Linked DNA regions of Xenopus tropicalis. The protein of the gene in region 2 interacts with the protein of the main gene of each other region in a pairwise test. Links are inferred from orthologs where the notes say so. Each region holds a gene or a part of one and is shown on either strand. Other genes may lie near its edges.

Evidence for each region. The genes of interacting proteins can lie anywhere in the genome.
Region 1: the proteins of cib3 (region 2) and sertad1 interact in binary tests that used the Homo sapiens proteins (3 or more experiments, as listed by UniProt). The two-hybrid records come from large-scale screens. The link is inferred for Xenopus tropicalis from reciprocal best matches to the Homo sapiens genes CIB3 and SERTAD1.

Annotation. Positions count from the first base shown.
Region 1 is NC_030684.2:78,227,919-78,232,935, reverse strand, and holds the start of sertad1 (SERTA domain-containing protein 1), read right to left. Parts: upstream 3,115-5,017; 5' UTR 3,093-3,114; intron 1-3,092. UniProt on the Homo sapiens protein: Acts at E2F-responsive promoters as coregulator to integrate signals provided by PHD- and/or bromodomain-containing transcription factors. Stimulates E2F1/TFDP1 transcriptional activity.
Region 2 is NC_030677.2:104,272,127-104,276,579, forward strand, and holds part of cib3 (calcium and integrin-binding family member 3), read left to right. Parts: intron 1-686; coding exon 687-798; intron 799-1,426; coding exon 1,427-1,574; intron 1,575-2,713; coding exon 2,714-2,909; coding exon of another isoform or gene 2,910-2,976; exon of another isoform or gene 2,977-3,048; intron 3,049-4,453. UniProt on the Homo sapiens protein: Acts a an auxiliary subunit of the sensory mechanoelectrical transduction (MET) channel in hair cells. Plays a role in regulating hair cell MET channel localization and function.

The DNA.
Region 1 (5,017 bases), on a different chromosome or scaffold from region 2:
TGAAATCCCACTGGCCCGGATGGGATTCATCCCAGGGTATTAAATGAGCTGAGCGCTGTGATTGCCAAGCCTCTTCTGGCGGATTGCTAATGTGGTGCCATTATTTAAAAAGGGATCCCTTTCTCAGCCTGAAAACTATAGGCCTGTTAGTTTGACGTCAGAAGTAGGAAAACTTTTGGAAGGGGTAATAAGGGATAGGGTACTTGAATACATTGCAGTTCACAATACTATAAGTTTGTGCCAGCATGGTTTTATGCGTAACAGATCTTGCCAGACTAATTTAGTCGCCTTTTATGAGGAGGTGAGCAGGAACCTCGATGCGGGAATGGCAGTTAATGTCATCTACTTGGACTTTGCTAAAGCGTTTGATACAGTACCTCACAGAAGGTTAATGATCAAATTGAGGAATATTGGCCTAGAACATAATATTTGTAATTGGATAGAGAACTGGCTGAAGGACAGATTACAAAGAGTGGTGGTAAACGGAACATTTTCTAATTAGACAAGTGTGGTTAGTGGAGTACCGCAGGGGTCAGTCCTTGGTCCTTTGCTTTTTAACTTGTTTATTAATGACCTGGAGGTGGGCATAGACAGTACTGTTTCTATTTTTGCTGATGACACAAAATTGTGCAAAACTATAAGTTCCATGCAGGATGCTGCCGCTTTGCAGAGCGATTTGAAAAAATTGTAAAACTGGGCAGCAAACTGGAAAATGAGGTTCAATGTTGATAAGTGCAAAGTTATGCACTTTGGTAGAAGTAATATAAACACGAACTATCTACTGAATGGTAGTGTGTTGGGGGTTTCCTTAATGGAGAAGGATCTAGGGGTTTTTGTAGATAACAAATTGTCTAATTCCAGGCAGTGCCATTTTGTGGCTACTAAAGCAAATAAAGTGCTGTCTTGTATAAAAAAGGGCATTGACTCAAGGGATGAGAACATAATTTTGCCCCTTTATAGGTCCCTGGTAAGGGAGTATGCAGTGCAGTTTTGGGCTCCAGTCCTTAAGAAGGATATTAATGAGCTGGAGAGAGTGCAGAGACGTGCAACTAAACTGGTTAAGGGGATGGAAGATTTAAACTATGAGGTTAGACTGTCGAGGTTGGGATTGTTTTCTCTGGAAAAGTGGCGCTTGTGAGGGGACATGATTACTCTGTACAAGTACATTAGAGGGGATTATAGGCAGATGGGGGATGTTCTTATTTCCCATAAAAACAATCAACGCACCAGAGGTCACTCCTTTAGATTAGAGGAACGGAGCTTCCATTTGAAGCAGCGTAGGTGGTTTTTCACGGTGAAGGCAGTGAGGTTGTGGAATGCCCTTCCTAGAGATGTGGTAATGGCAGATTCCGTTAATGCCTTTAAGAGGGGCCTGGATGAGTTCTTGAACAATCAGAATATCCAAGGCTATTGCGATACTAATATCTACAGTTAGTATTAGTGGTTGTATATATAGTTTATGTATGTGAGTGTATAGATTGGTAGGTGTTGGTTGGGTGTGCTGGGCTTACTTGGATGGGTTGAACTTGATGGACTCTAGTCTTTTTTCAACCCTATGTAACTATATAGGAGTTCATGCAAATAGTCCTCTAGCTAGCATTTCTCTGAATCACAGGTGTTTAGAGGAGCTCCAGCCATGAGGCAGAACCCTGCATGTTACAATGGGTGGCAAAAGGCTGCTCCTGGTTACTTACAAGCTGAAGTTCAGATTTTTAAATTGGAATTTTGTCTGTTCTACTGCACAAAGCTATAAAGTTAATCAGGATGGGGTGAGGGGGGGTTGGCACCGCTCCAGCTGCCTCAGGGTGGCAGTGGTGGCTAAAATGCTCCTGCAGGTGTTGGCCAGAAGCTAAACATTGTGCACTGAAATAACTACCAGGGGAAAGGCAGTGAGACAATGACTGTATGTGGGGCCTGTTGATGTCTACTTCTGTTACTGACAAACTGTATGGCCAGCATAGAGATCTTTCCCACACTGTAAAAAAAATATTTTTCACCACACACTATACAAAATGGGTCAAAACTTTCCACAAGCTGTGCAGTATAGTGTCTGATCTCAACCACACTGTACAATACAGCATTGTCCAGACTGTACAATAAAAGACCTTATCACCATCACACTATACTATATAGTGCTCCTAAAATACTGCACTGTAAAGAGCAACAAGTGATACAATACAATAGTCTGGCCTGCAAACATGTGGTAGGAAGAAGTTAGACAGCACTACAATAATAAAATGATTCCCTCCCACATTGGACAGTATTGGGATATATAGTCAAATTTACCCCATGGAGAGTAACTGCATCGGTATAGGGTTTACAGTGATGTAACAGGCCTGGAAGAGCACAGAAAAGAAGTTATATGGTGTGAAGAGGCCAATCCTACTAATTACTAAGTACAGGGATCTGGGTGGTTTGCAATTAGTATTTTGCGTTATATTTTGTAAGGAGTTATGAGTTGAGAAGTCTGGAAAATATGGCACCAGAGCCCTTTGTCATGTAGATAAGACACTTAACCCCACATTATATAGTAAATAATGTTCCCCTATTGTAAAATATACTACTGTGGCACACATAATGTTGAGTTCTCTTGGGGTTTACTTGCATACTACAGGTATTGATCAGTGTTTCAGGCTGCATAATGGGTGCTGCAAGGGATTACATTTATAATTTCCTGAGTCCCTGTCCAGTTGAATCCCTACATCTGTTGAACTACCCCACACTAGCTACATGTCTATTTTTCCTCTCCTATGAGTATGCAATTACAAGGTCCTGTTCCCCCAGGAACACCAGGGGCCTGCACACAGAATCTTGCATGCACGACAGAGTGTGTACTTCAGATGACCCGTAACCAGGTGAAAACAGGCAAAAGATATGTTCACAGCAACCCCAAAAAACATACCTCAAATCAAAATAAACCCCAAAATAAAGCGATAAATAAATTATAAAATTTGTATTGGGATGGTAACACAAATCGTATCCGGTAAAATGTGGAGGCTCAGGTGTATAGACCCCGAGCCTATCTCCAAAGTATACGATCCCAAGCAGTTAAAGAGAATCAAAAAAGGTGAAGCGAAATTTAAATAACTTACCAAAGTCCAGAAGTGGTCCGGGCGCTCAAGGCCCCGAACCCGTAGCCGAAGGGGAAAATCATAAGTAGTTGAAGGAACTCCAACACACCGGACAGCGGAGTTTGCTAAAAAAAAAACGGTCTTTATTGTTTAATTTAAAAGCAAGGTGCCCAGCAACCCCATTCTGATTTACCTACAATTAGTAAAACATTTGTCTCCTCGATATCGCTCGCAATCTCTCGCTTTCTGTATGAAAGTACAAGAGCATAGTTGAGCAATTCAAATGTGTGGCAATGTATACTAATAAATATTCTATATTCTGAAATAGTGAGAAAAACCACAATATCATATGATTCAATTAGTACATCTGTATAGACCCTAGTTTTATCTTTCATTTAGTATTACTCTTGGCAATAAATATATTTACCCTATAGTTCAATCTGTACTGAAAGGAGAATATTATTTTCTCACAAGAATCTATTGATTTATCTATAATCTATTGATTACCTTTAATAGTGAAATAAAGCATTGAATTGTATTTTTTTGGGAACTGCATCCACTACACTTTGGTTGAATTGCTTGTGACTCAGAGACACAGTTAAGTGTAAGCAAGACACAGATGATTCAGGTTTTTGCCTGCAGAGGCGGATTTGTCACATAGCTTTGTATGACACACACATACAAACAAAATCTATTCCATCCCACATATCCCACCTTCTCCACGCCCCCTCATGCTCTGCCATCAGTTGTGTCTAAAAATGAGGAAAGCAGATACTGTTTTAAAGGGAGATATATAGTGATATATAGTGTGAAATATATATATATATATATATATATATATATATACCTTCTGTAGAAATGTTTATCCAGGCTTATATACCTTCTGTAGAAAGAAAGTTCCCAGACTGTATAAATTTACTAGGCTTCAGATTATATTGCATACAGAGCATTATATTTGTTAACAAGTTGTACATTTTCCCTTGTAAAACATCACAGCTGCACTTACAATTATCAGAGAATGCATGAAAATGTAGTTACACAACAGCTGGGGGACTATGCCATTTCCCTGAAGGTTTAGTTAGGGGTAAAGTACATTATGCAGAGTATTACAAGTGCACAATTACTGCAATGTTATTTTGTTGTAATCACTTTGTGGAATAAGTTATAACACTATAATTATACAGTAAAACCAAAAATAATATAGGGCTCATTTACTAAGCAAGTCCAGATGGGGCGATTGCAACATTTCTTAATGGCATAAGGGAGATCAACTTTGCTTTGCTAGAGATACAAACTGTGGATTTCAAGGATCTTGGATTGACAGTCCAGTACTGCCACATTTTATCTTTTGCTACCCTTGATTAAGACACACTAGGAAGGGTTGGACTGCGTTGTAATGCCTTATGGCTGACATAACGGCATGTATCAGACTCTTCGTAGAAATAATCAGGAGGAACCCTTTATACAATATGTACAGCATTTAGAGCTTGTGGGTGATGCAATTTAGGAGTGCCCATATTGCAAATAGGTTCTGCATGTATTCCCCTAGTTTTGGTCCTCTTGTAATTATGGCATTAGGATGACTGTGGCTTTGGAACACTTTATTAGTAAGGAGCAGGTATGGGGGCAACGAAGTCACCCTCACTTGCCATCTTACACACAAGTGGTGGGGTTTGCCTTAGGCACCTGTTTGCCTTGGCCCAGCACAGATTGTAAGTCTCACATACATACACACGTGAGAAGTGGAAGGAAAATCATACATGATTCCAAAATTTTTTACAAATAAATAACTGCAAAGTGGGGTGTGCGTAATTATTCAGCCCCCCCTTGGTCTGAGTGCAGTCAGTTGCCCATAGACATTGCCTGATGAGTGCTAATGACTAAATAGAGTGCACCTGTGTGTAATCTAATGTCAGTACAAATACAGCTGCTCTGTGACCGCCTCA
Region 2 (4,453 bases):
AAAATATATATATTTTATTTTACACACACTGACAGAAACCATAATAGACTCACCTTGTTTCATTGTAAAGTGATGGATTCTGGGACCTGGAATCCTTCTGCTTTCTTTAATGAGCGGGCCATAATTATTTGGAAAGCAGTGGGACTTTAGGTTCCAGAATTCATGACTTCACAGTGCAACAAGGTGAAGGACTGAGTGGGGTGGGTAACTGATCCCTTTGATCACAGACGATTATGATTTATTTTATGGAATCAAATATGTCTGCGTAAAATATATGGATTGATATGTATTTTTGGGAGTTCAGCAAGTGTTTATGCAAAAGGGTGGGGGGGGGGGTGCATATTTTAAGATACTTGTCTTAATAGAATAAAAAGGCTTTTATCTCCAGCCGTTTTTTACTTCATAAAATATAATGTTTGTCTCACCACTAAACGGATGAGGATGTAATAAATCTAATACTCTTGGTAAAAAAATAAACATGCATTTATAAGCATTCAAAATTACCTCTGTCTTATAGAGTGTAACCACATTTATGTTATGAAGTAATATATAAGTGATGTCAATATACTTACCAAAGTATTTTAATGCAATAAGTGTATCACTTTATACTGCAGTCAAGAGGAAAAGGTTATATAACTGAATTTCAATAACATCGACATGTGTACTCAATTTTTCTTCATATTAAGACTTTTTAACAGATACCGGGACTTGGCACCACAGCTTGTTCCAGATGACTACACAAATAAACCAGATGTGAAGATCCCTTACGAGCTCATCGGCAGTATGCCTGAGCTTAAGGTAAACCACGAGAGAAGCAACAACGGCAAAGGTTGCCAGATGTCACTCTAATCCGGTGCTGCATTAATAATGCAGAAGGTGCTAATTGGCATGACTTGGGAAGATCACTGAAGCCTAACAAAATACTTGGTGAAGTTAAAAGTTGCCTTTTGCATCTCAGTTACATTTTATTTGACCTAATCTGCACTCTGATTCACCTGTTACTTTTAGACTGAACCTTGAACACTAATAAAAAAAATTGCGGGGAAAAACATAGCTAGAAAAGGTGATACAGGTATAGGTTCTTATATGGAATGCTTGGGACCTGCGTTTTTTTAAACGATAAATAAACCCAATTGGACTGTTTGACTCTTATATGGAATTATGCAGCTTAGTTATTTTTAAAAACTAGAATTATTTGCTTAAAATGGCCTCTATAGAAGATGGCCTTGCCATAATTAAGAGCTTTCTAAATAATGGGTTTCCTATACCTGTATTTTCTCAAATGAATGTATCATAATATAACAATGTTTTCTAAAACAGAAAATATAGAATATAACAGAAACACTTTTTTTAGATTGTAAAAAATGTAACATCAATGAGGTTCCTTTTGATTTACCAAGGCTGACATCAGTCTCTTCTTCGGCAGGATAATCCTTTTCGGCAACGCATAGCTGAGGTTTTTTCAGAGGATGGAGATGGAAACATGACATTGGATGACTTCTTAGATATGTTTTCAGTACTAAGTGAAATGGCACCCAAAGACTTAAAAGCTTTCTATGCTTTTAAAATATATGGTAAGTTATGTTTTTATTGGCAGTCTTTATCATTCTGGTTGCATCTGTGGATGTTACTTTGGGGTTATGGTTTTGGCAGACAATAAGGAAAACAGATGACTGGTGCTTGATCTCCTTGAAGAAAGTGTTTATGTTGAGTAGCCCACTCACACTAGGGGGCACATTTACTAACCCACGAACGGGCCGAATGCGTCCGATTGCGTTTTTTTCGTAATGATCAGTAATTTTGCGAGTTTTTCGGCATCTTTTCGATTTTTGCGTAAAAACGCGAGTTTTTCGGCGTCTTTACGAAAGTTGTGCAAAGCCGCGATTTTTTCGTAGCGTTAAAACTTGCGCGAAACGTCGCGCCTTTTAAGTTTTAACGCTACGAAAAAGGCGCGACTTTGCGCGCAAGTGTTAACGCTACGAAAAAATCGCGACTTTGCGCAACTTTCGTAATGGCTACGAAAAACTCGCGTTTTTACGCAAAAATCGTAAAGACGCCGAAAAAATCGCAAAAAATATGAAAAAGTCGCAAAATGTTCGTTTCCAATCGGAATTTTTCCAATTCGGATTTGAAATCGTGTCTTAGTAAATCAGCCCCTAGATATATGCATACTTGTGCTCCCAGTTTGGTTCACTTTTGGTTCTGTTCTGTTGAGAAGGAATTTATGCTTTCAATTTATTATTCTTTCTGTTTTGCAAAAGTAGGGTTGGGGGGCTGGACTGTAGTCCTGAAACGCCCTCAAACTACAGCTCACCTGGCTGCGTCTCCCTGCTCCCCAATGCGTCCTCCCGCTCCCTTTTTGCCCACTCCCCACTGTGTCTTCCCGCTCCCTGCCCCCGCTATGTCCTCCGGCTCCCCTGCTGCGTCTGCAAACAGGTAGTAACCAGGGGTGAGGACACAGCGGGGGCTGGGTAAATTACCTTGGGGGACCGGATCCGACCCATGGGCCATATTTTGAGGATCCCTGCTCTAATATCTCAATTTGCAACAGTAATAAAATCACTGGTGCTACAGTTATGTAAACAATAGACCCCCAGAAAAGGTCTACAAAATGTTAAGGAATAACCCATCAGTTTTTTCATACATCTCTCTGCCTCATAAATATTCAGCTGCAATATGCCTTCCAAAAATGAGTATATTTATTTTTATTCAGATTTTAATAATGACGATTACATATGCAAGTCAGACCTAGAGAAGACACTTAACAAACTAACACGGAATGAGCTTACCCCTGAGGAAGTTTGCCTGGTGTGTGAGAAGGTGATCGATGAGGCTGATGTAGATAATGATGGAAAATTGTCACTGGAAGACTTCCAGCACATGATTGTTAGAGCTCCAGATTTCCTCAGGTACAGTACAGTCAATCTAACACATTTTGTTAAAGATCAAGGTGTCCCATGTATAGTTAAAGGGTGAGTTCACCTTTGAATTAACTTTTAGTGTGATATAGACATTGATATTCTGAGATAATTTGCAGTTTGTCTTTGTTTTTTTAGTGGTTTTTAGTTATTTAGCTTTTTGTTCAGCAGCTCTCCAGTTTGGTATTTCAGCAGCTATCTGGTTGCTAGGCTCTTATTTACCCTATGAGAGACGGGAATATGATAAGGAAAGGGCCTGCATATAAAGATAAGTAATAAAAAGTAGCACTAGTAGCCTCACAAACCAATAGTTTTTGGCTGTCGGGGTCAGTAAAAGTAAGGAAAAAAATTTAAAAACTATAAAAAATAAATAATGAAAAGATATACTACATACATAGTTGCTAGGAATAAGGCATTTTATAACATACTAAAATTTAACTTAAAGGTGAATCATCCCTTTAACTTATCTTTATTAATTTACGGATTTCCTTAAAGGAAAACTATATCCCCAAACAATGTAGCTCATGCTGTATGTAAAACCCTGCTTCATCTAAATAAACCATTTTCATAAAATATAGTTATTTAGTAGTATGTGCTATTGGGTAGTCCTTAATAGAAAATTGCCATTTTAAGAATTAAGGGCCGCCTCCTGGGATCACAGGATTCACAGTGTAGTCATTTTGGCATTTTACTGCCAATAGATTAGCCACATTAGTGCTACCTAGAACACTCTATTTATTCTGCAGAAAGCATTACCATACCTGAGTAAAGAGCCCTTGAAGCTCCCTCTGTTTGTGTGAGATTGCAGCTGCCATTTTAGCTTGGTCTCCGTAGAAGTCTGATAGTGAAGAACATGTTTACAATGCACAGAGAAGTCAGTGCAGCGTTTCTGTGAGTGCTAATTGCTGTATTTACAAAGACCTTTCTGATAAAGCTTACTTAGTTTTTACTTTCTTTCTCCTTTAAGACTCCAGACTTCACCAGGCACCTAAAACTGTGAAAAGAATTTCTTTATTAATATTAATTGTATTGCACTAGGATTAATGGGTCCTGATCATATCAGACCCAATTTTATATTGTAAGGAAAGGTGTCGGGTTGCCCGACTTAAAATAATAAAAATAAATTATATATATATTGCATTTATTCGTATTTGATTAAACCAGAGTCTATAGGAGATAGCCTTCCTATTACTGGCTAGTAAATGTGTTCCTGATGAGCTAAATATTTATGTTGATTTTATATATATAAGTAGTTGGAAACACCATAAAACTGGCCAAGGTTGGCATAACTGTAATCCTGGTTGTGCTATATTTATCCTGCTGCACAAGTGTGGCAGTATGAAAACACACAATGAACAAGGCACACGCAGATAGGGTTGATTCACTAAAGTGCGATAAGCGGTATCACATGCTTTTTTTGCGTTAAAATTGACGCAGAAAAAAACGCGTGATTCGCTAAAGTAATATCGTATGCGTTAAATACCGCATGATCGCAAGGCGCTAATTTTAACGCATTGCATTAATTCTCGCATAGA